Coturnix japonica: one gene and its partners. The protein of the gene in region 5 purifies or fractionates together with the protein of the main gene of each other region. This does not show direct contact. Links are inferred from orthologs where the notes say so. Each region holds a gene or a part of one and is shown on either strand. Other genes may lie near its edges. The genes, in order: ALB, AMOTL2, PHGDH, CCDC85C, YAP1, PATJ and WBP2.

The links.
Region 1: the proteins of YAP1 (region 5) and ALB purify together in Homo sapiens (affinity purification with mass spectrometry, with the first as the bait; 3 studies listed by BioGRID). This does not show direct contact. The link is inferred for Coturnix japonica from reciprocal best matches to the Homo sapiens genes YAP1 and ALB.
Region 2: the proteins of YAP1 (region 5) and AMOTL2 purify together in Homo sapiens (affinity purification with mass spectrometry; 10 studies listed by BioGRID and IntAct, with this or other methods). This does not show direct contact. The link is inferred for Coturnix japonica from reciprocal best matches to the Homo sapiens genes YAP1 and AMOTL2.
Region 3: the proteins of YAP1 (region 5) and PHGDH purify together in Homo sapiens (affinity purification with mass spectrometry, with the first as the bait; 4 studies listed by BioGRID). This does not show direct contact. The link is inferred for Coturnix japonica from reciprocal best matches to the Homo sapiens genes YAP1 and PHGDH.
Region 4: the proteins of YAP1 (region 5) and CCDC85C purify together in Homo sapiens (affinity purification with mass spectrometry; 5 studies listed by BioGRID and IntAct, with this or other methods). This does not show direct contact. The link is inferred for Coturnix japonica from reciprocal best matches to the Homo sapiens genes YAP1 and CCDC85C.
Region 6: the proteins of YAP1 (region 5) and PATJ purify together in Homo sapiens (affinity purification with mass spectrometry; 7 studies listed by BioGRID and IntAct, with this or other methods). This does not show direct contact. The link is inferred for Coturnix japonica from reciprocal best matches to the Homo sapiens genes YAP1 and PATJ.
Region 7: the proteins of YAP1 (region 5) and WBP2 purify together in Homo sapiens (affinity purification with mass spectrometry; 7 studies listed by BioGRID and IntAct, with this or other methods). This does not show direct contact. The link is inferred for Coturnix japonica from reciprocal best matches to the Homo sapiens genes YAP1 and WBP2.

What each region holds. Positions count from the first base shown.
Region 1 is NC_029519.1:45,350,532-45,354,181, reverse strand, and holds part of ALB (serum albumin), read right to left. Parts: intron 3,383-3,650; coding exon 3,253-3,382; intron 2,364-3,252; coding exon 2,149-2,363; intron 1,673-2,148; coding exon 1,540-1,672; intron 714-1,539; coding exon 616-713; intron 476-615; coding exon 337-475; intron 1-336. UniProt on the Homo sapiens protein: Binds water, Ca(2+), Na(+), K(+), fatty acids, hormones, bilirubin and drugs. Its main function is the regulation of the colloidal osmotic pressure of blood. Major zinc transporter in plasma, typically binds about 80% of all plasma zinc.
Region 2 is NC_029524.1:3,381,897-3,384,265, reverse strand, and holds part of AMOTL2 (angiomotin-like protein 2), read right to left. Parts: intron 2,113-2,369; coding exon 1,968-2,112; intron 1,727-1,967; coding exon 1,634-1,726; intron 901-1,633; coding exon 605-900; intron 507-604; coding exon 214-506; intron 71-213; coding exon 1-70. UniProt on the Homo sapiens protein: Regulates the translocation of phosphorylated SRC to peripheral cell-matrix adhesion sites. Required for proper architecture of actin filaments.
Region 3 is NC_029523.1:4,130,524-4,134,767, forward strand, and holds the start of PHGDH (D-3-phosphoglycerate dehydrogenase), read right to left. Parts: upstream 2,808-4,244; 5' UTR 2,702-2,807; coding exon 2,564-2,701; intron 2,239-2,563; coding exon 2,087-2,238; intron 1,952-2,086; coding exon 1,886-1,951; intron 1,806-1,885; coding exon 1,751-1,805; intron 1,674-1,750; coding exon 1,575-1,673; intron 1,504-1,574; coding exon 1,371-1,503; intron 1,297-1,370; coding exon 1,148-1,296; intron 1,069-1,147; coding exon 916-1,068; intron 843-915; coding exon 710-842; intron 549-709; coding exon 424-548; intron 291-423; coding exon 71-290; intron 1-70. UniProt on the Homo sapiens protein: Catalyzes the reversible oxidation of 3-phospho-D-glycerate to 3-phosphonooxypyruvate, the first step of the phosphorylated L-serine biosynthesis pathway.
Region 4 is NC_029520.1:43,763,060-43,767,468, forward strand, and holds the start of CCDC85C (coiled-coil domain-containing protein 85C), read right to left. Parts: upstream 2,804-4,409; 5' UTR 2,043-2,803; coding exon 1,331-2,042; intron 1-1,330. UniProt on the Homo sapiens protein: May play a role in cell-cell adhesion and epithelium development through its interaction with proteins of the beta-catenin family. May play an important role in cortical development, especially in the maintenance of radial glia.
Region 5 is NC_029516.1:163,414,795-163,418,444, forward strand, and holds part of YAP1 (transcriptional coactivator YAP1), read right to left. Parts: intron 2,855-3,650; coding exon 2,661-2,854; intron 1,156-2,660; coding exon 1,114-1,155; intron 1-1,113. UniProt on the Homo sapiens protein: Transcriptional regulator with dual roles as a coactivator and corepressor. Critical downstream regulatory target in the Hippo signaling pathway, crucial for organ size control and tumor suppression by restricting proliferation and promoting apoptosis.
Region 6 is NC_029523.1:24,546,389-24,550,678, forward strand, and holds the start of PATJ (inaD-like protein), read left to right. Parts: upstream 1-1,465; 5' UTR 1,466-1,555; intron 1,556-1,614; exon of another isoform or gene 1,615-1,633; intron 1,634-4,290.
Region 7 is NC_029533.1:4,035,589-4,039,939, reverse strand, and holds the start of WBP2 (WW domain-binding protein 2), read right to left. Parts: upstream 2,863-4,351; 5' UTR 2,787-2,862; coding exon 2,728-2,786; intron 1,892-2,727; coding exon 1,783-1,891; intron 1,249-1,782; coding exon 1,113-1,248; intron 1-1,112. UniProt on the Homo sapiens protein: Acts as a transcriptional coactivator of estrogen and progesterone receptors (ESR1 and PGR) upon hormone activation. In presence of estrogen, binds to ESR1-responsive promoters. Synergizes with YAP1 to enhance PGR activity.

The DNA of each region.
Region 1 (3,650 bases), on a different chromosome or scaffold from region 5:
GACTTCTTAATCTGCAGTCTGGCCATTTGGTTACAACTGGTAAGCACAGTTTTCTTTTAAGAGACTCTTCAGCTTTTCCAAACACGAGCTCCTACAGACTCAATCAATTGAATTTTGCTTTCCAAGTTCAGCTAAAATTTTCAAAAGCTCCCAATCTGAGGAAGCTATATGGGTTCTCACATACATTAAAAAATGAGATTCCAATTCTGTTATGTGGATAATTAGCTCTGGGGCTACGAAAATTCAGTGTCAGCTTATTAACTCAGCAGAATTCAGTGGTTTTGAGAATAGAAGAAATCACAGAGAGGAATAAGGAAAATAAACAAATGTACTCACATAACCCTCAGAACAAGCCATACGTCTGTCTTCAGGAAGCTGGCAGCACTTAGTACCAATAGCTGTCATTTTCTTTCCAATTTCAAGCAAGGTTTCAGTTGATACTTGAGGCATTTTCTTACTGTAGCGGACCAGGATGCTGAAAAAGCACAACAAAATGACTATTCATACACATCTGAAGAATGCTCTACTGAACTAGACCAGCAAAGTATATCTACTCCCAAGGTGGCCAGAATAATAATTGTTTACATGGAAGAATGCTTATCAGAAAGTACTTACGACTTGAGGAACTCTGGCTCGCCATGGGCAGTGAGAAGATCACAGTTTGTCTTCACAACATCCTGAGTTTCTTTGATGTGTTGGTTCAGTTGTTCTTGCTGCAAACAAGTGTAAGTTTATCAGTAACAGTAGAGAAGGACATTTTGGTAACAATTGTACAGATAGAGTTTTTGGTCTCTTCTAAAGCTTACTAGCTCTAAAATACCCATTATGCAAGGCCAACCATTTGTTTTGAGTCTGTCTGGAGTAAGGGGGCTTGATTCACTTAGGAGAATTCAGTTCTGACAGAAATGGAATTAAAATGACAGGAAGATTTTTGAAATTTAATTGTCCATTGGACTTGATCTCTATTAGGGATTTGTCTCCTTTATTCTTAAAATCAAGTGACTATTTCTGCAGTATAGGGTAATCAGCTGTGAGAAGGAACATCCTCCTTCAGTAGCTGGGCCAAAGCTGCCAGTGAATCAACTTCTACACTGATTTGTGTATGATTAAATTCAAGGTCAGAAGACCAGAACTTAGGATTCTGTATGTGAGCTGGCCATACCAGTTTCTGTTATAATCAGTGAGCAGCTTCTCAAATAAGCAGGAGAACAGATTAATTTGGCTAACTAGCTGTTAACCATCTTATTTAGGACAAACAGTATCAGTTTTGAGAGTAAGAGGCATCAGGAAATGGAGTGAGACTAGTCTAAAGTTTTGAGGGTGACCAATGGAGTTCCTGACCAATGGAGTTATAAAGTTAGCTGAGCTAACTTTATAACGTTGTCATTGGATCTGGACTACATTGTGTCCCATCAGAATACTAACTTCTCCTGGGGATTAGTCTCTTAAAATGCTTTCTGTCTGCTCTTTTATGCAATTGTTTCATGATAGGTATCATGCAAGCATTTTAGTTACATGCAGACAAAACATTGCACCTACAGCATTTCCGTAGCACTCAGCAGGGTTATCAGTTTTGCAGCACTTTTCCAGGAGTGATTCATATCCCTTGGCAATTCGCAGGATCAGCTGTGTGGAGAACTCAGGGTGTCTTCGTGAGTATTCATAAACAAATCTGAAAGACGCATGAGCAGACAGCATTAGAGTCTCTCAGCTGAGATCATGTAAGGTGAACACTTTGTTTTCACAGATTATTTTTTTTTGGACCAATCTGTTGACTGCCAACAGGGCAAATGTAAGAACAGAATAGCCTCCCCAGGACAGAATGCTTCTCAAGCTGATAATGTATGTGGACCTGAACAGAAACCCTGAATAAAGGAAAAGCAATGAATTTCAATTCAGCTTTGGTAAGTAGTGCAGTGCTTTGCAGTCACAAAGCATGAATGAGAACCTAGGCTTGAGTTACATCTGTCACACTGGATTTCCATATGGTAGTCATGATCTCTCTTCTCCACGCAAACTTGAAACACCCAAGAGGGTAGGTTTTTGTTGTGCTTTTTTCCCCCTTGTGGTGCAAAAGGTCCAGACATGAGAACAGATAATTTAGAAGAGTGTTCAAATACAAGTTTATGCACTGCTGGGACTACTTACTCTGACATGAATGCATCATGGCCTGCTTCAAAACTTTTACATACTTCCTTATCTTGTATGTATTTTTCAACTAATGAAGGAAGATCTGCAGGTTTCTCATCAAATTCTGCTTCCATAATGCACTGGCTTCTTTCCACAACAGGCTTCTCACAGCAGCCTTTGATTTTGCTTGAGAAAGCATCTTGTCTAGAGCACATATTGTTTATGATCTCTGCCTGTAAAATTAAAACATAGCCTCAGACAAGCTATGAAATAATAGTTTAAAGATAGATTAATTCAACTCTTCCATTTTCATTCAGGTTACTTATTTACTGAGCAGTTTCCTAAACAAATGCTGTCTCTGTAGGAAAAGAAATAATTAGAGGGACTGGCATTTCCAATGTATGTAAAATGCAATGTTCTCAGGCACAAGGGAGAATAAGGTTCCCTCTCTGATCTTAGAATCTTTAAGACAAGCTCTGGAAAAGCAGTGAAAGCCTCTGAGACTGTCACAAAGGTGACTGATTGATCTCTTCAATCCTGTTGCGTGATCAGCTCTGACAGAAGACCAAACATTAAAAGCTCTAGATTCTCGTGAAGCCAGCCTAGGACACAAGCTAGTTATAGGTTTAAGAAGTATGTCTAATTTCCAGCTGGGCGGGCAATATTTAGTTAATGTTACTACTGCAGTTTTGCAAATCCTCCTGTTTGAGCTGTCCTACAGAATTTGTTGGCAATAAAGGAAAGCTGGATTAATGGCAGTATACGCATCAGAGCTGCAAAGGATTTCTGGCCTTTTTGCCTCTGATTTCTTTTGCCCTGTTAGCAACAGAATTGGACTAAATGTCATCAAACAAGTACCATAGTAAATGTTTTGTTTTTTAACCAAATACCCATTCTACCCTGTCTGCAACCAGTCCTTGCTCTTGTGATCATAAAGAGAGATAGACTTAGAAGTGGTACAAAATCTGTTTCCATTAACAGCCATCTGAGCTGTTTTCTAGAGGCTGAGGAGCCTTTTGGCAGCACTGAATACAAGTTCCTTGGACTCTGAATAGCTGCTGAAATATTCTTCCTACTGGTTTTCCTGTATGTAAACATTTTTTTGAAGAATATTAAACTTACCATGTCATCCATGCACTCCACCATGTCCCCTTCACAGCACTCTTTGTGGATCTCCTTAGTGTCATGTACAAGTTTAGCAACGTCTGAGAATGCAGCCTTGGGGTATTTTTGGCTTAGGCGAGCAAGTTTTCTAGTTAGAAAAGAAGAAAAATACACTTGACTCAAAGCTCCGTGTTGAACAGGAAGTTGCAAGTCACTACTGATATGACATGGTAGATCAGCAGTGTTCTCACCTCACTTCAATTGCCTAGAAAACAAGGTTTTGTAATTTGTACTTCTGATCTGAGCCACCTGTGTAAGAATCACCCTCTGCTGTTTCCTGTCTATTTTGAATGGCTGTAAAATGTTTCTAATAATAAGTAGCCCTGGAAAGTTTTATTACAGAACTGCAGAAGTTG
Region 2 (2,369 bases), on a different chromosome or scaffold from region 5:
CCGTGAGCGCTGCTGCAGGACTTTGATGACGGCATCTTTCTCCAGGATTTGGGCATGAAGAGCTTTTAATCTGATGAGAGACAAAGAGGGGGAAGATGAGATAGGAAGGAGGACCTTGTGATGGAATCAAAGCCATAAACTTCAATGGAGTCACTCGGACCACTGAGGATGCTCGCAGCACCCAACAAGTGGCTCACAGGGAAGGTGGGGTACCTGCTCTCCATCTCCTGGTGCTTGTGGTTGGCCAGCAGGAGGTCCTCGTTGAAGCTGCTGTTGGGTGAGTGCCGTGGTGAGTGGCTGATGAGGGTGGTGTCCCGCTGGGCAGCAGCAGTGGCGGCAGCATCCATGGCAAACTGCCTCATGGTGCATTCCTCCAGGTACTTCTGCTCCCACTTGGTCATGTCAGCTTCCAGGGCCAAGATCTTCTCCTCCTTCTCCCTCAGCTGCTCAGACAGTCTATGGGCACTCAGCTCGGGCGTCCCTCCACCTGTGGTTCCCACTTGCCTCTGCAGCAGCCAAGAAATGACCCAGAGAGAAGGTGAGGAGATGCTGGGATGCAGATCACTGGCCCCTCCCACCTCACAGTCCCCAGGATGTCCTTTACCTGCTGAGCCCGCAGCATCTTCAGCTCCTGCTCCAGCCGGGTGCGCAGCCGCAGCTCCAGCTGCTCCCGCTTCTCACAGGCAGCCTGGAGCTGACCCAGGGCTGCCTGCAGCCGCTCCACCTTCTCCACATACGCCCGCTTCTTCCGCAGCTCGGCCTCTGCCTTGGCTGCCCGTGCCTGGGCACTGCCCAGCGCCTGTTCCAGCAGCTCTGCCCGCCGGCGCTGGTCCTCGTTGGCGCTGCGCAGCAGCGAGGCTTCCCGCTCCAGCTTCTCCTTCTCCTGTTGGTGCTCATAGCCTGCAAAAGAACATCTGTCTAAGACTCGGAGACACAGTGCAGGGGGGTTAAAAGGCCCACGGAGCCCCCCGGCCAAAAAAAGAGGCTGTGCCCACAGGTCTCCACTCAGCTGTGTGGTGTCAGCAGCCCTCAGCCAGCACATGAGGTGCACTGGGGCCAAGGGCAACCCTGCAGCACACATTTCAGAGCATGGCCGTGCCCTGATGGACATGACACCACCATGGACACTTGCTGCCATAGAAAGCCTCATTTTGGCAAATTCCAGCCAAAAATGTGGCCTGAGATGAGAAAATCCATCCTAGGTTACACCTAGCTGTTGATGTAAGGACTGTGACACGATTCCTCCCCCACGATACCAACGCCAGCTCTCTGATGAAATAGCATTTAGGAAAAATAAAGAGCTATGGATCTTGCCGTATTTCTCCCCCAAGAAAAGAAATTCCAGCTTGCACAGGAGAGAAGCACGGAAGGGCTGGGCAAGCACAGCGAGGGAGTGCGGACTTTGTGCTGGAAGAGCCTGCACACGGCAGCAGGAATGTGGAGAATGCAGGTCACCCCGCCGGCCGGCCGGGATTAATGGCTTGCATCCAGCGCCCGGAGCAGCACAGCCATCCCTGGGGAAGGGCAAAAAGCTCCTCTCTACCCCCCCCCCACCTCTTCATCCAACATAAAGGCTTCTGCACTGAGTCCCTGCTGTGGCAAATCAGGCAAAGCCGAACCCCTGGGGACTTACTCTGCGCTAGGAGCTTTGCCACCGTGCCCTGGTTGCTCTCCTGGTTCTCCTGGGTCTTGCTGGCCAGCTGCTTGTTGGCCGATTCCAAGCGTTCTGGTGCAAAAACACAAATAAAAGAAATGAGATTTAAAAAGGCTGTTTTGGACAGATGAATCCGCCTACCCCCTCCCACCTGTGAAAACACTCCGACTAATAAAACTGCTAAAAAGAAGAATACTGGGGAAAGGCTGATGGACAGAGAGGGCCTGCAGGAATAGGGGAGAGGAAGGGTCTGGAACTGGGAACTGGGGCACGGGAGCCACCCAATGGAGCTGTGGACCACAGCTACTCTCACCTTTCAGGTCTCGGTTGAAGTCCTGCAGCCGCCGCATCTCCCCATCTCTTTTGGCCCTCATGGCTTTCTCCAGTGCCTCCCTCTTGGAGGATGCCTTCATGAGGTTTTCGTAATCCTCTGAGATGCGCTGGATCTCCGTTTCCAGCTGGAGAGGAGGAAGTGATGGGCGGGGGTGAGATATTCGTGGAATGAGGAAAAGAAAGGCAGATGCTGGTGAAACACTGCCCAGGCTCAGGACCCGTCCTGCACTGCCAACAGGGCTCCGCAAACCCACAGAGGATGGGCAGGAGCCGCAGAGTGAGAAACCCCCACAACAACACAGGTCTGGGGGCAAAAACCCTTTTTCTTTTGCTTTCAGCCCTGTGGGCACAGAGGGAGCTCTCTTGCCTTAGCATGGATTTG
Region 3 (4,244 bases), on a different chromosome or scaffold from region 5:
CTTTTGACTCCAGGCTGGTTGTGGGGACCCCCCAGATGTTCCCTTGCTTGGGGTGACACCAGGAGCTTACCAGCGAGTGTGGGCAGTGTGTTTGTTTCAGATGCTTTGGCTCTGTAGATGAGGAGAGGGCCCACCAGTGGTGCCGGCTGCTTGAAGGTAGCCCCGTTGAGCTCCCGCAGCACTGGGCTGCTGCCCTGCACTGTTCCTGTCACCCGGTGTGGGGTGCCCTGCAGGGCCACCTGCAGCAAGCCCTCGGGCTCAGGGCTTGTGTCACCATGGGTGGCTGTGACCTGGTGGGGAAAGGTGGCCACTCAGCACCCACATCCTACATGGATGTTCCCTGAGGGCAAGGCGCCCTGTGGGGTTATACCAAGGAAGGATAGGACGTAGTGGCATTGGGCTGCTGTGTGGCACTCCGAGTACCTTCAGGCCGGCCTCCTGGGCCAGCAGCATGGCGTTCACCAGGGTCGGCTCCTTCTTTCCTCCAGCCAGCATGCCTGACACCACAGCAGGTGCCAGGTAGCTGCTGGCATCCTTCAGGGGGGCCCCTAGGATCAGTGCTGCGATCAGCTCATGTCCATCTGTATTCCCTCTATTCCATCCATCCCCTGCTTCCCATCCTTCATCCCATCATCCAACCACCTCCTGCCTTCTGACCCAGTATATCCCCATGGGTCCCTGTGTTGGAACTCACGTGCCCACCTCTCACCTAGGGTGCAGACCTGCACATTGCCTGTCGCTTGCTTGGCCAGGCCATGCAACACTGTGCCCAGCGCCTTGGCCAGGGCAATCCAGGGCTTGGTCTGGGGTGCAAAGGCTTTGCTCAGCGCCTGCCCGTTGACCTGAGAAGAGATATGGGATGAGCAGTGGGGATCTATCACACATGGGGTCTCTGAGGTGCACCAGGGGACTCACCACGCCGACCAGCCCCTTCCCAGTGGCCATGTCCACTATCTGCATGGCGATCTCCTTGCCGCAGCGGCTCTGCGCCTCCCGAGTGCTGGCACCCAGATGTGGGCAGCAGATGACGTTGGGGTGGTCCACCAGCTCTCTGTCTTTTGGGGGCTCCTGCACATGGCCCCAGCCTCAGCCTGTGCCCATCCTGGGGCCCAATTTGGGTGATGGCCCCATGGGGGACCCCTCTCACCTGTGTGAAGACATCGAGGGCAGCCCCTCCGCACTGCCCTGAGCGCAGTGCCCGCAGCAGCGCTCCCTCATCCACGATGCCACCCCGGGCACAGTTCACCACCTGCACGCCACGGCGGCACTTGGCGAAGGTGCTGTCATTCAACAGCCCTGTGAGGAGCACCATCAGGGACAGGGATACGGGGACAGCCCCAAAACATCCCTAGACCCTCAGACTGCCCTACCCGTGGTGGAGGGCAGCAGTGGTGTGTGCACCGTGATGAAGTCACAGCGGGGCCAGATCTGCTCCAGCGGGAGCTGCTCCACACCAAACGCAGCCGAGGTCTCAGGGGTGATGATGGGGTCGTAGCCGATGGTCTGGAGCAGAGTGGGGGCTCACAGCTGTGTCCAGCCTGCTCCCCGCCACTGCCCTTTGTCCTGCTGCTCACCTTCATGCCAAAAGCCTGCATCCGTGTGGCTACCTCCCTGCCGATGCGGCCCAGCCCCAGCACACCCAGTGTCTTCCCATTCAGCTCCATGCCCATGTACTGGGGGGGTGAGGAGAGTGGTGAGCAAGCAGGGGCCCCCCAGTACCCACCCTCCCAGGCACTGCTCCTGCCCATACCTTCTTTCGGTCCCATTTGCCTTCCTTCATGGAGGCAGCTGCCTGTGGGATCTGCCTGCAGTAGGGGAGGGCACAGTCAGCGCAGGGCTGTGGGCTGTGGGCTGGACACCCCACCCCGCACAGCCCTGCACTCACCTGGCCAAGCACAGGATCATGCCGCAGGTGAGCTCTGCAGCGCTGAGGCTGTTCCCGGTGGGTGTGCTGGGGACAGGGAGCGGGGTCACCGTGTGACCTCCCCGTAGGGATGGAGACCCACGGGGAGGCCGGGCTCTGTGCTGACCCCCCAGCCCCGTGCCAGCAGGATGCCTCCCTTCTGGCTGCGGGTCCCACTCTTACTTCATCACCAGCACTCCCTTCCTGGTGGCTGCCTCCACGTCCACATTGTCAACGCCGGTGCCAGCTCTGCCCACCACCTGCAGCCTGCCCGCCACCTCCAGCACGTCGGCGCTGACTTTGGTGGCCGAGCGGACAATGAGCCCATCACAGTCCTGCAGGGACAGACACCGCACGTTGATCGGGGCTGAGCCGTGGGGATGGCAGGCAGGGTGGGTGGTGGGGTGGGAAGAACCGGGGGCCTGGGGCTGGGATCAGCAGCGTGAAAGCAGCCAGGATTCTTGCATCAGACACAGGAGGCGGGGACATGACCCGCTGTGCGAGGGGGCTTCCAGCCTCCCACCGTCCTGCAACGTCCTTTCACCGTGTGTCTGCTCTGTCTGGGACACAGAGCTGCGGTGCCCACATGGTGCCCATCTGTGCCCACCCGCTGCCACCAGCCCAGGGCTCTGAGCTGCACGCAGACCCCGGTTTGCTCACCCGGATCTCCTGCAGCAGCTCCTCTTTGCTCAGCCCGGGCTTCTCCAGCACCTGGATGCCCCCGGCCCGCAGTATGTCCCTGCAGCAGGGATCCAGGCTGTCGCTGATCAGCACTTTCTGCAGCTTGGCAAAGGCCATCGCTCGGTGTGGGGCTGTTGGGGCTGTCAGGGGTCCGTGCCCGCTGCTTGTCCGCACAGCTCTGGCCAAAGAGGTTGCTGTGCGCTGCCCGCCGCACTAAATGGGCCGCCGGTGGGGCATGTTTTGCGGGCTGCTCTCTTGTCTCATTGGATCCCATTTCCATAATCCCACCTCTTTCCCACCTCTTTTCCCTCCTCTCCCCATCGCCGCCGGGTGGCTGCGAGCCCAGGATCCCAGCCCCCCCAAACCCCTTGAGCCCCTCACCCTCAGCTGCTGTGATGACGGAGTAGGGAGCCCAACAGGGCCCCCAAAAGCATCGAGCACCCCCACAACCCACGTACCTCCCACTCCACTGCCGTGCCTCAGTTTCCCCGCCACAGGGAGGTGGTGGCAAACCACTGCGCTGATCCAGCGCTGCGCCCACCATTGAGCAATGCCCCGATAAGCGCTGGGGGCACGGGGCCAGCCCCGCCGGCAGCTCCCAATTGCATGGGGTGAACGGGAGCCACCCAGCAAACGCCCTCCGTGGGGTGGGAGCCAGGTGACCGAGTGGGGAAAGCGCTGGCCCTGGAGGGGACGGCACGGCAACGTGGCACAGGGCAGGAACGGAGGGTGTCCCCTTTGTCATGGAGACAACACCTCCCGATGCGGCCGGCACAGGGCACACTCACTGCAGGCTGTGTGCACCCCGGCACCGTGTGCACCCACCGCAGCTGCAGCCAGGGAACAACCGTGACGCCAAAGGGAGGAAAGTCCGAGGCAGCTGGCATGGGGCAGAGGTGGGGTCAAGGCTGGGGTTGGAGACATTCTGCAGCAGGGCCCCATACAGCCTCTTGGAGGGGCTGCAGACCCATTGCAGGGGCACGGTTTCCCCATGCACGGTATATGTTGGGGGTATTCAGGGCAGGATGTGTGGACACGGCCCCTCGGCCCTGCTCCAGTGCCTTGGCACAGCTCCATGCCTGGCCCTGGCCCCTATTAACCATTAAGGCCGAGCTCAAGGCACTTGCCAAGCCTGGGACAGCACTAGCTGGGTGCCCTTCCTGGTGGCTCCCAAACCATTTGTCCCTCCTGCATGTGCGGGGACAAGCAGGGGACACGCCTTGCAGTGGGTGGGGGCCCTTCGCTGTGCCCAGCCCCTGCAGACCCTGTCTCATGCGGTGACTCGAGGGCATGTGTGACCGAGGCACCACCGCAATGCAATGCGAGCAGCATTCCCCAGGCAGCTGGTGCCCTCTCCTGGGGAGCAGAGCAGGAGTTACACCCAGCAGCCCTTGCAGGGATGTGGGGACCTGGATGAAGGTACTAACTGGTGTGCACCCACGGTCCTATGGAGAGACCCGAACACAGTCCCCATGTCCCATGAACAGCCCCTCGGAGTGGTGGGTACGTCTAATGTGGCACTTGGTGACATAGGTGGCAACTGGACTATGGCCTGGATGGGGCCTGGGGGCTACAGGGTGTCGGTACCCCCACTGCCAAATCCCACTGCTGCAGTCCCAGGTGGGCTCTGCACGGAGGCACCAAGGAGGAAGTTGCAGTG
Region 4 (4,409 bases), on a different chromosome or scaffold from region 5:
TACACAGCACTTAAAAAAAAAAAAAAAAAAGGAGAGGGGAAAAAAAAAATAACAAGAAAAGAAAGATGCTTGCTGGATCCTGCAACATCTGGTGACTGCATCGCCCTTTCAAGCAGCGTGCCCTGACTGCTGGGCGAGGTGGCAGGAACATCTCCAGCTGCGAGTGGAAACATGCAGCTGCAGCAACAGGACCGAGCACAGCGGATTCACGGACAAGCACGCGGCTGGAAAACTGGGCTATTAGGTGCATTGCATGTGCCCTCAGATCTCTCAGGGCATTTGCCATAAAGCCCCCCAAAAAAGCCCTGCACTCTCTGGCCCCACTAGGACAACCAAAAGCTCTGGGCACAGAAGGCAGTTATTTGGCCAACGCATCCAGAAGCCCCATCCCAGATCCCTGTTCTGGTTGGAAAAGAGGATTAAGAACATCAAAAGGATTCTTGTATACAACAATTAAATAGATTGGTGCTTGGTTTGACTCCCATTAAAACCTCTTGGCCAAAATAGGTCTTGTTGGTTTTAAATTGAAAGAAAAAATCTATTTTAAAGACATTCCAATATTATTATTTTAATGTCTGGCCACTATTTGACAACAGGAGAAAACGTGCTTGAATACAAGCAGTCAGAGATTTGGCACAGTTGCACCCTGGAGCTCGCTTCTAACTTTAATGACTGATCTACACAACACGGTGAACACAGCGTCCCTTCGAGAGCAGCTTCTTCTCTGCAAACCATCCTCCTGCTTTTGAAGAGGAACAGAGGAAAGCAAAGCCCCAGCTCTTTCTAACTGCTGGGCATTGCACAGCCAGGCAGCCTGCCATGAGAGCTCACAATGCTAAGAACAGGTGATGTCCGTGGGGCAGCCCTGCACTTCCATCAGCTACTTCCAAAAATCACAGCTGGGATTTTATCAACCTGATACAAGTAGCAAATAAACAAGGCAAATGTAACTCAGAACACGTAAAGGGGGGAGGAGATAGGAGGGAGAGATGGGAAAATCAGTGTTTAACTTTGAAAACACAGCCTGCTTTTTTTGAGGGGGAAAAAAAAAAGCAGCAACAAAACAAAACACAGTCCTCCGGATAAATGCCTCCAAGCTTCAACCTCAAACACCAGCAGCCAGCCAAGCAGCAGAGTGAAGCCCAGTGACCTCCTCCCTGAACCACCCCTACCACAGCAGCTTGGGAACACCAGGGGCAGAGGTGGGGATTGAAAGATCTCCCCCCCCACGGCATCCCTCACCCCAGTACAAGGCAGGTGTGCACTCAGAGGAGGTGGGTTCAAGGAAAGGCACCTGCTGCAGGCAGGGCTGCAAGGGGGACAAACTCACCATTGAGACCGTTGGGGATGCTCCGGTGATGAAGAGGTGCAGATAGGTCATCCATGGACCTCCGCATGGCCCCGGCCTTGCTGTCGCCAGCCTTGTGATGATGGAGGTGGTGGTGCTGGTGGTCAGGGCTGCCTGCGCTGCCCGTGCTGGAGGTGCTGCTCCCGTCCCCCACGTCCCTGGTGGCCGAGCCGCCGTTGAGGTTGGTCAGGCTGGCCTGGCTGTCGATGGAGCTCCGTGAGCCGGCCCCGCTCCGCTCCTCGTCCAGCATCAACACCATCTCCTTCAGCTCCACGTTCTCCCGCAGCAGGGTCTCCTGCCTCGCCTCCAAGTCCTTCAGCTTCTGCTGGTACATGCCTACCTCCTTCCACATCACGCTGGCCGTGTGCCTCCCGAACCTCTGCCATTCCCTCGACAGCTTCTTGCCTTTCTGCCTGTCGTCATCCAGAAAGCAGCAGAGGTCTCTCAGTTCCTGGTTATCTTCTTGCAGCTTCTGATTGATATCCTTCAGCCCGCGGATCTCGTGCAGGTGGAGCTGCAGCCTCCGGTTCACGTCCTTCATCAAGTTGCCGTGTTCCACCATTAAGTTCATCTTTTCATTCTCCACTTTCCTCAGTCTTTTCACCAGCTCTTCCTTGCTCCACCTCAGCATCTCCTCCTCGGAAATCTTGCTCAGGTCCTCTTTAGACCCCTCGAGGGAATTTTTGGCCATCATCTGTGCCTGGAAAGTGCCTGCTCTTACAGAGTAGCAAACGGTTCAGGTTATCTGGATTATTTTTGTTCGCTTGACTTCCTGGGACTGAAATTCACTGCTGCATCTTAGGGAAGAAAAATTATAGTTCCTCGTAACGTGCTGGACAAGGTGGTACAGCAAAGCCCGACTGGAATATCTGCTTCCCCATAGACTCCATAATAAAAAGAAAAAATAAATGCAATCCAGACGGGGAAGAAAGAAAAAAAATAAATAAAGACGCGCCCCCAAACTGGGCTGGGGGCGGCGGGGAATCGGCGGGCTGCGAGCGAAGCCTTCACAGGAGATCGGCCAACTTACCCTGGGCGAAACAACTACGAGGCGGCCGACCCCCAACCCCGGGGCGCTCCGTCCACTTGTTCCCTCGCCCCTCCCGCTGCGGGAGACGAGAGAGGGGAGATGAGAGACGGGAGACGAGAGCCGGGCCCCGCGCTGCCGCCGCCGCCGCTCGCCCCCAAACCCTCGGCGACGTGGGGCCGAGCCCTGCGCGGTGGCGGCCGATGCCGGTGCTGCGCTGCCGAGGAGCGGCGGGGGAGCCGGCGCCTTCCCGGAATGGCTCAGCCCTACAGGAGGGAGGGGACGGGCGGCAGCGCGGGGCTGGTCCCACCTCCTGCCGGGCTGGGAGGCGCGGCCCGACCCCGGCCCTACAGCCCCAGCGTCAGCCAAGCCGGACCGAGCGGCGGTGGCGGAGGAGGAGGAGGAGGAGGAGGCGAGCGGCGGCTGCTGGCGGCGGAGCGGAGCGGCGCGGGGCCGAGCACCGCCCTCCCACGCTGCCCCATTGGCTGCCGGGGCCGGGCCGGGCTCTCGCCGGGCCCCGGTGCGCCGCGCCCCGCAGCCAGCTCGGGTTACCGGGACCGGGGCCGCCTGGCGCCTTCAAACGGCAGGTACAAAGGAACGGCACCCCGCCCCTCCGTGCCCTGCTCGCTGCTGCCGGGCTGCCTCTATTTCCCATCGCTGGTTCCCTTTTTTTTCCTTTCCTTTTTTTTTTTTTTTCCTCCTCTTTCTTCCTTTCTTTTCCTGGGAAGCACCAGCCCGGGGAAGGGTGGGGTCGGACAGGCAGGAAGACGAACCCGCCGTGCGGCGCCGGAGCAGCCACGGCCACGCTGTCACCAGGCGCTGGGAAACGCTCGGTCGCAGCGGTGGAGCTCCGCGACCATCCCGAGCCGCCTTTGTCTCCGGGTGCCTGCCGCAGGTTGCTGCAGCCCTCACCATCCCCCTGTTATATGGGGCGGAACTGCCTTTATAAACGGGCAGTGCTATTCCTCAGGTTCCGATAGTCTTTACTATCAGGTGTGCCAGTGTCACTTCTGAACGCGTTAGGCAGGACCAAGGAAGGGGTGCAAAAAGTTCACAAAGTGGATTTCCTAGGCAACGTGTAGGCAGATTTCCTACATCCTTGCATCATATCCCCTGACTTTTAGTCTAAAGCACTTTTCCTTGGAATATCAGCTGCTTTTGGCCAGCATCGCGTAGTGAAAATGTACTGGGGCAGTGCAGTGCTGCCAGTATTTCCCACATGAGCCTCCTTTAGAAGCCCCAGGGAGTTGCCAGCTTTGTGTTCCCAAGGTACCTTGGTAAATGATTTGACTCCAGGGTTAACTCAGCACCGCCTCAGGTTTCTGACCACACTGTGGAGCTGGTCCAAGACACCCTGTAGCAAGGAAGAAGCATTGAATCTGCTGCCAGAGCGTGGGATGCCGAGCAGATGGTCTGTGCATGGAGGGAGCATCGGTCCAGAGAAGGATGGAGAATTGCAACTTCTGCCTAAGTCTAATCAGCAAATATGCAGTTCCTTTGGTTTTCTTTTGCATGCTGCTTGGTTTCTGAGCCCAGGCATATGCTAAGACAACTAAGACAACTGCCCCACAATGCCTAGGGAAGTTCTGGATGCCCTGTTCCTGGAGATGTTCAAGGCCACATTGGATGGGGCTCCTGGGCAGCTTAATCTGGTGGGTGGCAGCTCTGCCCATGCCAGGAGGGCTGGAATTAGTTGGTCTTTAAGGTCCCTTCCATCCTAAGCCATTCTATAATACCCTGCTGAAGCAAAAGACTTACCTTCTTCTGACGGAGCTCATCCCTTCCGTGGTGACTTTTGGCCCTTCTCCTTTCCCAAAGCAGCTTATATCCTTTTGTTATCAATGAGGTAACAGGATTGGGACTGGTTCTAGGGCTGGCTTGCTTCACATGGGATATGCAGGTGGTCAATCCATAGTACCACACACAGACAATCATCATAACTTGCACACAAACCCAGGTAATTCCCTGCAGAGAAGAGAATCACAGTGTCTGCATGCAGGTGAGTAGGCCTTGCTCACAGAACCTGCTTGCTCC
Region 5 (3,650 bases):
TTAACGTTCAGTAAATGAATAGTTGGGTAATGATTACATATCAGGTAAAATGCTTCAGTTTTAGTGCTCTGATTATACTGTCAAAGATATTTTTCAGAACATCAGTACTGTCTCTGAAGTCTGAGTTTCTCATTTTGAAGATGATCTTCTCAGAAGAATCAGTGACGTATAAATTCTACAGTACGTTTAAGAATGCAACAGTACACCAGTACTCATAACTGCCAAATACAGAGTACTTCCTTTTATTCTGGGTTTCCCGTATAGTGCATAATGTTGTATTTCTTAAAAAGACCAAGTACAATATGAGCCAATATAAATATTGTCCTAAAAGCTAGTAGATTAAGAATAATGTTAGTCATAGCAGGCAATAAGCTGAATATATTCATAAATCCACCCTTTCAGGGATTCAGTTCACATTCAACTTCTGAAGTGCCCAAAAGAAGTCCACTTTCAACTGTTCATTGTGCTACATATTTTGACCATTTTCATTTGCTCTGAGCTTGGAAGGCTTTATAAAATTACTTTTTCCAATAGAGAAAATGCATCTGTGCAAGAGCTGGCTAAATCTCAAAGTGGAATAATTACATACTATATTGCCACAGCAATTACTTTATTAGTCTGATTTATTAAATGATTATTACACTGTACATGCTTAAAAATAATAAACTTTTAAAGTGACTTTTTATTAACAGATTTACAGACATCCTTATGATCACACCTGCTTACACAGATCAAGAACATTCATGTGAATAGAACTTAAAAGCCACAAACTACTACCTTAGAAATAATGAGGGGTTTGCTTTAAATACACTTCTTGATGACATCAGGACTGGAACAGCGGTATCTTCAAGAATGCTAAACAAGAACATTGCTTTCAATGCAGAAAACTGTGCAATGAATTCCCATTGCATTTAAATATTGATATCAAGTTGTGGTAATGCAGAACTCTTAAAAGATAATGTTAGGGTCATGATCAGAGAAATGGTTCAAAAATACGTATTGGCAGAGCATGTTTTTTTTCTTAGAATGCCCTTATGTAGCAAAGCTCCTCAGCTAGTCTAATCTAATGTTTTCATGTTTCTAATTATGCTGAAACATCAGTTAAGAGCCTACCTGATGTTTTGGAGAATTTGCTGTGCTGGGATTCCGCATTGCCTATGAGTAAAAATAAGATGGATAAAAATTACTTTAGCTGCAAGTTTTGCCTGTGCAGGCTGTCTTATAAACACCATCTTGTAGTATCAAGCCCCCAAGACAGGCCAGATGAGACAGGTTAAGGGAGTTTAGAAACTACAAAAATCATGAGACAGTGAAACAAAACTCACAGGTTTACCAAGGATGTGTATTTGACAGAAAAGCTGGATGCCCAGGGAGAACAACACGAAGGGAACTGTCTGTCACCTGGTTCAAAGTTAGTCAGATTCTCAATGACAACTGAGGCAAGAAGAAAATTAGAATGCCTACCTAGAAGCATGCTAGCACAGGGTAAGATGTTTGTTTGGTGGATTAATAGCAAAGCAGGAACAGCAGAGGCCCAGGTGCTTAAGCAGAGAAAGTCCTGACACCATCTTTGCAATGTACTCTTAGTTAGAGTATTACAAAAACTAACAGCTTTAAAGATGACCCATCTTATACCAAGAGATGTTGAAGAATCCTACAGTACAAGCCTTGACTATTCAAGATAATGGGAGCCAGATTCCAGGATAGAATGCTGCAGGTAAATAAGAAAGTGAAAAGCTGTCTTTGAGGTGAAGACATCATTCTCATCTGATACAAGACCCATCACCCAAAGTGAAAAGGGAACAGGGTAAGATTTTAAGAGCTTTTCCTCAAAGAGAAGATTAGTGCTTTCTTCAGTGTCAAAAAAGAAAACAAAACCAAAGAACATCCTAAGTATCTTGAAGAATGGCAGTAACCTTTTTTAAAACATACAGATGGAAAAATGGAAGCAGAAGTTTAAAGTGAAAAGGAAGCCAAGCCCAAACTCAAAATCCAGAGATGCCAATGTCCAGTGCTACACTTTGACATTCATTCTGACAATACTTAATATAGTCAAAAACACTAGAAGAAACAGTTTGCAGCCTAATTATGAAGTCTGAAATTCCTCATTATAAGAAAAACAGTGGTTCAAAATGCAGCATGAGTGATTGAGTTGTTCCACGCTCTCCTCCGCAGTTACACAGATGAGATTTTTAGCAACAAGGTGTCTCTTCAATGTTTCTTACAAAAACTTAACTGTAGAATCCAACAGTCCAACATGTTCTTCTGAAAGTGAAATACCTCCGTGTACTTAAAAGGGAGAACTAACACAACTGTGGGAACCAGCTTCTTTTTGCATGACTCAGAACTCAATGACTATGAGACATATTCTCAAGAGGATTCTCCAGTCAGATCAACAGTCCATGAGGCCATCCTAACAGCAAAGAAACTTGATCTCAGAAAGTTTTGTTAGAGAGGGGGGAATTAGGGAGGAAGGCAAAATCCTTCAGTGGGTTAAGTCAGATGCTTTCACTATCAGTCTGATACCACTAATAGAATGACTTCAAACCTTTTTAAATCTCAAAACGTTTTGCACAGTTATTAGTCTTTAAAAATCAGTGAAACAACTTAGCCAAAACGAAACAAAATATAACATACAAGAGAAATAGTAGGTGTCTAACCTGTGGCCTCACCTGCCGAAGCAGTTCTTGATGCTTCAGTCTCAGCCTTTCCTTCTCCATCTGTAGCTGCTGAAGTCTCATCTGTTGCTGCTGATTGGAGCTACTCCCACCCATGACCCCACCTTGGGGACTCTGAGGAGCCAGAGGGGGTGGCTGTTTCACTGGAGCACTTTGGCTGATTCGCTGATTCATGGCTATGGAACCAAAACAACAAATGTTTGAAAACAAAATGCAAACAAATACAAGGCAAGTACTATCCTTAGACAAGATACAGCTAGAAATTACAAGCCCTGACCATACAAGACTTGCAGTCACAATGATGTTCAGCATGAAACATATGCTCACATTTATTATTCCTGTGAAATCAATGCAACATTCTCATGTTTATGTGTAATTCTTGTTCTAAAAGCTCCTGAAAACAGACCTGAATGTGCATATTGGTGCAAAATGTCAAAGTGGTGGGAAAATTATTCAGTTTTAATTAGAATGTCTGCTTGCTTTTCCTGCCAATACATTATTTTCAATGTAGACACAAATAACACAAAAACACTTTTCTTGTTCACATGGAATCTTAGAATCATCCAATGCACAGAATGACAAAAGAGATCTCACTCAGACCCAGCAGCTGCCTCGGTTACAAGCTGCCACTATTTGCAATGGGGTGCGGGTCGCACAGCAACCATTTGCATCATTTTTGGAATCAGTTTTGAGTATTACAGACTCCATTTAGACTTCTAAGCAAATCTTGACGTGCAAAATCAGTGCTGGCACAAGAATGGTAGACAAATTACACAGACAACAATATTACAAGATTTAAACCTATTTTGTTTTCTAAAACGTTGCATCTGCTTGACAGACACGATGTTTCCTCTACAAGTTAAAATAAAATCATATGTTGTCTTAGTCTTCATCATAGAAAAAGGATCCCTGGAACATGAACAATTAAAGTTTCTTTCTTAAAATAGTTATCTCAGAGAATCTGCATCACCT
Region 6 (4,290 bases), on a different chromosome or scaffold from region 5:
TTCTAACCTTTTCTCGCCCTTTTTAAGCTCAGTTCCTATTTTTCTAGCGTTTTTGAGAATTCCAGCTCTCAGCTGTGAGCTGCGCAGGACCCTGAGCTGTTTACATGGGGTAAATGGACACTGAGTGGCAGATGTGCCCAGGACAGGCAGCAGTGCTGTCAGCGGGTTTCCTTCTGCACCAGAAGCATTTCATTAGAAACATATGGGGACCCAGAGACTGAAAACAATCACAGACTCACTACAGTTGGAAAAGACCAGTGAGATCTCCAGCCCACCATCCAGCATTCACTGCCCACATCCCTCCGTGCCACCTCCCCACAGATCAGGAACATCACCAGGGATGGAGATCAAACCACCCCCTGCACAGCCCATGCCATGTATCACCATTCCCTTCTGAAAGTCTTTTGTTATCATACCTGGTTATTTTCCTGAGTGAATGGTGACTTACGCATAAATCCATTCCTATGATTTGTTATTGTTCCAGGCACTCAAAGAATTGGTAAAAATGTGGATTTAAAAATACACGGATGTCTGACAAAGATCTCACTGATGTGAAATAGCGCTCACAGCTTCGAGGGGGATTTGTGTGTGCTAAGTCCAGCAGATAAACTATGCAAATGAAAATTGATATTCCCTTCAGCAATTGGGACAGAAAGGCCACGCACACAGTGCACCCTGCAATGAACTCAGCCCTCCAGATCGGGACTGGGGTGCTCCAATGGGAAATGTGCTGTGCTTCTGTGTCTACACTGTAACTCAAGGATGGATAAATACAGGGCTTGTGGCTCGTCACTGTCAGGAACGTTGTCACTTCTCACGAGCGCTGCGTTAATTAAAGTTGAGAGTGAGGGCTGGGAAGTTACACAGCAAGAAGCTGAATTGCTTTCAAGGGAGGATGGAGTGGTGTGTTCTTAGTGTGTTGTGTGCTTTAGTGCAACTGCTATTGCTTTGAATGGAAAACAAATTGGGGGAGGGAGAGAGAAAATGCTTGTTTTGCAATGAAATGCATTGGTTTGGAAATGCTTACCCAAGTGCGAGAGCTACACATGAGCTCAGGAAACTGTGTAGCAGAATAAAGAGTTTTTGTGAGGTTTCATTTTATATTTTCAGTCTGTGAGTATATATACATAAGAGCAGACATATCCACAATCCAGAGGCGCTCCATAGGAAAAGCATTACAGCTGCTTAGCTCTGTCCTGGCCCCACACTTCTCGAGGCTTTTCCCATCTCAGTGATAGGGTCCGTGCTGCAGAGCACGAGCACAGCTCATCTCATCCCTACAGGACTCAGGAGCTCGGAGCGCCTGAGTTCTTGTTTAGCCGTCGCTTTACTGCGCATAAATACACAGATCGCTGTCTCGCTCTCGGCTGACCTCCCGGCACTATTAAAGGCGGCTGAGGGCAGCGTGGCCGCTCCTTCCATCCCATGGCCGCAGCCCGGCCGTGTGCCTCCCCCGCCCGCTGCCCGCCCGTCCCCCGGGAGGCGGCTCTCCCTCCGCGCCGCCCCGGCTTCCTGCGCCGCAGGTGAGGCGTGTTGGCTTCCCGCTTCCGCCCAGGTGAGAGCCGGCGGCCATCGCTGCACTCCGACCGCCTCCTCCTCCTCCTCTTCTTCCTCCTTCTCTTCCCGGCCGCAGGTATCGAGCGGCCGCCGGCCCCGCGCCCACCGCAGCGGTGCGGCCCTTCTCTCAGCAGCGTCCCGAGGGGCGGCGGGCGGCTCGTTCGTCCCGCTGCCCTCCCTCGGCTCGCGGTGGGCCCGGCCCGGGGCGGCCCCATGGGACGGCCCGCTGCCCTCGGCGCCCGGTGCGGGTGTAGCGTGGGGCTGGGGAAGGCAGGCGGCCCCTTTGGGGGCTCTGGCTCAGTCACTCAGTGGGGTGTGGGCAGCTCCCATCGCTTGGGGTGATGGTAACATTAAGTTGTACCGGAGCAGGTTCCGGTTGGATGTTAGGAAACATTTCTTCTCCTATAAAGAGTGGCCAAACTTTGGGACGGGCTGCACAGGGAGCGGTGGGTCTCCGTCCCTGTTGGGGTGTTCCATAGCTGCAGCAATGTGGCACTGAGGGATGTGGGGACCTTAGAGGCCTTTTCCAGCCTTTTAGTACATTTGTGGCATTTTTCATCAGTGCTTTTCAATCCGGCAGTTCTTAACAGTTTTTTGATTAGTACTTATTTAGGGATTGATTAATAGGACAATTGTTCTCTGCTTTCTTGTCAAGTTTTTGAGGCTTAGAAATGGAGCATGGCTTCAGGTTTAACAGTTCTCTTCCACAACAGAATGGTTTATCAGTTGAATGCGCTGTCATCACCGGAGCTGGAGCACTCAGTGTCCTGTTGCACTCAAATTAGCTGCTCTTTAGATCCCAGAAGTAAATTTTCCACGAGTTTTGCTAGGACAGGTTTCGTAGCATGTTCATGGCTGCACTGAGTGGCCTCAGTGTGAGCTCAGCCTCCTATCAGACATCAGAGGCCCCATGGCAGTGCTCCCCTCTGGGCTGCAGCCCACAGGAATTCAGGTTTTGCCTGTGGGAAGCTGACGTGCCTTGGACATGAATAAGGCTGCTCTCAAAGCTGCTAATCACAGGTACACGGGATTCTTTTGCTTTCCTCGGCCTGCAGTCACTGAGGGCTTCTAACACCGGGATGGTTTCCCCACAAAGGTGGTTTATTGATATTTGATGATATTTAGCTTTGGCCTGTTTTTTACCTGAATACACTTGGTGTGCTTTCATTGATGTACTCGCAGCACCCTTCACTTGTTTCTTTCTTGCAAGAGCCTGGAGCAGCTCAAATACACTGTAGTGATTTTATAAAGACTGTAACAAAACACAGCACAGCAGTCCTTGGTGGTTTCATCTGTGAGGTGTGTATGTGCTAAGTTTGGTTGGATTTAATTTTCCTGTATGTTTGAAAGTGGAAAGCCGAGCAGAACAGCCAAATGTGCTACAGTGTTATTCTTTAATCAGTGCATACTGCTTGTAAGCTATGTCATTTTTAATACTACAGCTTACAGGTGATGCTACATTATGAACACTTGAAGATGAAGTTCATGCTGTTTTCTCTTGCTTTTACCTTTGCTTAGATGGAAATTTTCCAAGCTAGAGATGTTCCCAGGACTGATGAAGACGCCCCATGCACATATCAGTCATTCCTGGTAACAGGGCTAGGAAAAATTACAGCTGCACCAGTGCAGAAAGGTGACTTTGGATCGGGATGTACCCTTGGCTGTTTGCTGCTCAGATGGCCCTGTTAGGAGCCTTGAAAAATAGCAGCAGTTAGCACTGTGTGGTGAGGACTTGCAGTGTTCAATGGCCCAGAAGGTTACAGTGATACTGAGAGCTGCGGAGAGGCAGGATTTCCCCTATGAGCACAGCTCTTGGAAGGATTCACGTTGTTGGGGGTGAAGCAATTGTAGTTGTTAGGTGAGAGGGGGGACGTGGGCAGAAGCAGCTCTGTTGGCTAAACCGTGCCCTCCTCCAGCTCCCAGCACAGAGCCCCTTAGTTTTGTCTCCCAGGAGCCTCCGCAGAGCAAGAACTTGTCAAGGCCACTGCCAGAGGTGTCGTGTCGTTCTGAGCCTGGGATGTGCCGGGCTGAGTGCCCCGTGGCAGCTCTGGGGGGTGATGGCAGGGGAAGACTTAAACCTTTCAGCTCTTCTGATGACCTCTGCTGGCACCAGCATGGGGGAATTCCTTTTTTCTTAGTTTGCTTTTGAAGGAGATCCAAGTCTTAAGATTTCATACAAAACCTTATGAAACTTTCCCGCTCCCTATGATGCGTTGAGTTCAGCTCTCAAAAGTGAAGACAGTCAAAACCCAGATACACGCTGTGCTGAAGAGTGGGGTTTTTTTCTGGGGTTACAAAACACTCCGCTTTCTGAAACTCATGATTTTCGCAATGATTTTACGATTACGTTGGGACTTGTGACATGAATTTTGAACTTTGAGGTTTGCAGCTTTGTCTACCAATAAGATAATTAAGTGGCTGTAGAAATCTGGGAATGGAGTTGAGGAAGTTGAATGCAGAGTGGACAAATAGTTTTTTACAAGACAAACCATGGTGTTTTGGGTTACTTCATAACTATCATCGAGGAATGGACCTCTTAATTTGTGAATGATCTGTTGGCACCCCGATCAGGTCTAAGCATCAGTACTTGGAAATTGATTAATGATTATGTGTTTGGGTCCTCAAACACAAACAGGGCTATAGTGGATGGAGCTGTGTGCTTCTCTGGAGCCTGAACACCAGTCTTGGGGACTTGTTCTCAATTACATATTACTTGAAAACTTGGAATTAGCT
Region 7 (4,351 bases), on a different chromosome or scaffold from region 5:
TTAATGAAAAAAACAAGTATCGCATAAATCCATTAGAGTTCATAGAAAATATTTCAAGTCAGGATAATAATAATTAAAAAATAAAAACGAATTAGCCACTTCTCTTATTACAGGCTAAAAAAGAAAACCACGCACAGCCCAGAGTGCCAACAATGCATCAAAGCAGTAGCTGTGTCAGTAATGAAACAGGGATACAGAGATAAAAGAGCCTTTTGAGCTAAGCCAGACTCCTCTGGCTGTTGCAGCAACATCCTCATTAACTAAGCCAGCCTCTGGGGGGGGACTCACAGAGATTTTGTTAAAGCAGTTTGCCTTTCACACAGTTTAGTGTTTGTCCTTAGTGCTCAGCTCTCCTCTCACACTGGATGGTCTTGTTTTGCTGCCATAGAAAAGCTACAAGGCTGATTTCAGGGTAATAGGCTGAAGCCCTCTGAGCAGTGCACTGTGTTGCAGTGCCACAGCTAAGGGAATAAATCAGGCTCTGGATGAAATAAGTGCCTTGGTAAGAAGTAGAAGCATAGGACAGTGATAAAAGTATCTCTTAGGAAAAAAGAAGTCTACCACAACTCCTCATTGAACATATTATAAAGCTGCCCTTGAACATTCCCTAAGCTCAAGGTAATCCATCATCTTCCAAACAATACAGCAGTGCTTTTCCTAAACTGCACAATAAACGGATGTTGGAGATTCACACCTCGAAATCCGTACAGATCCAGAACAGACCGCGAGTGTTTGGCACAGAAGGATCTGGATGCATAAATAAGAGAGAGGCTGAACTGACCAAGGCCAAGCAACGCCCTCAGTGCTGCTGTCACAGCCTGATCCCTGCTCTGATGTTTACTCAGTGAGATCACTCGGCTGCCTGAACTCTGAATTTCATACAGAGGGCAGGAATGAGATCAGTTACACAGCTAATCTGTTCACTGTAACTGCACAGAGCTGACAGGGGGGAATATTTTCAGCCGCTGGTTTCAAAGAGAAAAACACATTTTAGCAATACTGAAAGAACCTATGCATCCAGTATCCACTTCACATTACAATGAATAATTACTTTACTAGGAACTATAGAAGTTCTGCATCTTAGCTCAGCTTTGTATCAGTGCTATACGTACCTCCTGCCTCTGCTTTCACTGTACCCTTGATATAGTTTGCTCCAAAGACAGGCTGCTTAATCTCACAATCTTTCAACAAATAAAAGGCCATCCCAAAAGACTGCAGAGCATCCTTTCCCTTCGATATAAAGATAACCTGAAAAAGAAACAACATTACAAAGGGTGTTTAAAATGAACAGGAAACACTGCCCCGGTTTATTATCTGTGGACATTGCTGGTGGACTGAATCTGCCTCCCACACTCAAAGATCCTTGTAATTTCTGCAAGCCCCAGGGTTCTCAGAACTGTCACAAGGGTAAAATGATGCCTCAAGGCCATAAAGCCTTCCAGAAGGATTACACACTTGCTCAGATAACACTCCTCCCAGTTCCTAGAGAACTCACAGCTGTGATTTAGTAGCTGAACTGCTCCATTCCGCATTTCCAAACCATCGCTCATTTCCAATCTTGAAGATGCCTGGTGGACTAAAACAGCTGCCCAGGTAAGAACTAATGTCATGGTTGACAACTAATCAGATTGATTATCTTTTGCCAAATAGGCAGGACATGCAATGAAGCCACAGTGCTCCCCACAAGGGGAGGACGGGTACATTATCCAGACCTTCATGCACGTGTAGAAGTGCAGAGCCATGAAGAACTCTGATCTCTTTCTAATGCCTTTTACTACTTACTCGGTAGGGAGTCAAGAAAACACTCCCTTTCTTGGTCCCTTTGAACGCCTCAGGCATCGGTTCAGCATCACTGAAGGTCATTTCTACATGATCATAGGTCATCAGAACGCTGCAAACAAGATGAGAAGAGGCACAGTGTTAGAGCTTGGGGCAGATTCCAGCACGTAGAGTTCACTGACTTACCAGAACTGCCTTAACCTCAGCCCAGCACCCAGCACACATGCTCACTCTGCCTTGCACTTCTGCTTGCTCTCAGCCTCGTGTTCCTTCTTCAGTGAGCTGATACAGCTGTTTGCACAGCCGGCTGGTGAATCCAGTCAATTAAACTCAAGTTCTCAATGTATTTCTTGCATTATGTTGAATTTCTGCCCGATCATTTCCCTAAATTGCTTCACCACAAGCAACACAACACAGGTAGGGCTGCTTAGCAGGAACCCCTCAGCCTGGGTTATGCAATGAGGCGACCAGAGGTCACAAGAATCCATCTCAGTCACTATAACGTGATTGGGATCATTCCTCTTCTCACTCCTATAACCCCACACTGACTCCTTAAGCCTCAATCAGAAACCAGCCTGATTAAGACCAATAAAACACATCCATATGGATGCAGGTAGTATTGTCTTAATATGACAACATCCACGTCAGGTAAACCAGGCCCTAATGGTGTGCACAGCACATTTAGACCTATTACCATCCCCAGTCGTACAGAAGGGCACCTGGGCCACGAACCAGGGCCTATATGACGGCAATGAGCCACATAGGGTTAAACAAGGGTTAATGAGCCACATAGGGCACACCAAGGGTTAACCCCAACATGGCGGGGGGGGGGGGGGGGGGCGGGTGTTAGAGCCCCTCAGCCCCATATGACCCGCAGGAAAAGGCCATTTTGGACGGAAAGGGGCTCGGAGAAGGAGAGAGAAGAGGGCTGGGCCCCTGACCGCTCACCTCTCGCTGTTGTTAACGATGACGCCGCCGCCCTCCGAGTGGTTCCTGTTCAGCGCCATGTTCAGCGCCGCCTCCGCCTCACAGAGCCGAGCTCGCACTGCGCCTGCGCGAAGAAGAGCCCGCTGGGCGCGCGGTGCGCTCTGGGATTTGTAGTCTCGAGGGGGTGGTGTTCCCCGGGCATGCTGGGAGTTGTAGTCCTCTCGCTCGGCAGCCATGTTGGTTTTTTGGGGTGGTGTAGGTCGCTCCTTAAGGGTTATTTTCTGCCCCAAATCTCACCGCTTCACTCAGCCTCGTCTGCCGTCCCCGAGGAGCAGTGCCACCAATTAACGCTGCTATTAATTCCCCGAGCTCCAGCCAGCTGCTGAGATCATATTGACTTTGCTATACACAACCCAAAGAGCCGGGCTCCTTTTTGGGATAACCCATTTCCCATCCCATCAATCACCCCATTCTGCTCCCTCTGACCATATATAATAAAATGAGCTCAGTTCTTTGCAGCCTGCGTGACTTGGCAGCTCTTCTGCCAGCTTCCTATTTTAGATAGTACCACAGAGCTCACACAAACAAAGCACGGTTTGCCCAGTGCCCTGACTGCATTCCAATTCCCTTTTATTTTCCCCTTCCAGGACTTTATCTTTGGCTGCACTTTGCACGTTTTCATTGCTCACAATGAAAACGCCATTAATCTGGTTATACTGTGCACTAAATGAGGCTCAACCCCTTTAAAAGCAAAGGTTCCCCCCCACTTTCCAGGCTGTTTCAGTGCCCATTTTGTGTCCCAGACACCTGGGTTCCTACAATTAACCCACTGAGGGTTAAACTGGAGGGGCCAAAAAGTCACCCCATAGACAAAGAAAGCTGCTCTGTGGGCGAGAGGAAATCCGGGGACAGGAAAATACCTGCACTATTGGCACAGCTACAGTTTGGGTATAACCCACTGCCTCCAACTGGAGCTGACTCCTAAAACAATCATAACACCTGCATAACTGCATTAAAACCGCTGCAGAATGACATGTTTTGAAGGACTCCTCGTATCAACCCTCAGCATAATGTGTGAATATGTTTTAAGAGGTGATATGAGGCTAAATTACACCTTTTTTTTTGTATGGATTTGAGCTTTCCCTGCAGGGTTTGCAGCCCAGCCCCTCCTCCAGTGCCTGCAAATCCCCAGGGGCAGCGAGGAAACTGAAAGCTCCATAATGGAAACCAGACTGAAATCAACTCAGAGACATAAAGCGTACAGTTCTTGGCAAGAAAAGCACAGCTTTGTGCCTTTTGTATCCGCTTTTTCAATAAGCTGCAAGTTTCCCTTTTAAGAAATGCTCATAACCAACAGCCCCAATTCCTCTCCTATTAAAGTCAGTAGCACACATACACAGCTTCCCCCAATGCTCCCTGAGCTAACAGTGCCCCCAGTAATGCTCTTCTCATAGCTCTGGCTGACGTTTGGTATTAAGAAACTCAGCCTTCATGTCAGGAAGTGCTGGCGTGCATGGGAAGCTCCAGAACTTCATGTATACAGATTAAATCATCGAGGGAAAAAAACATCTCATCTCTTCAACTTTGTTATTTCCAAGCCAAGGACAGAAGTCGAAGGGAGACAGAAAGAACTGAAACAATTCAT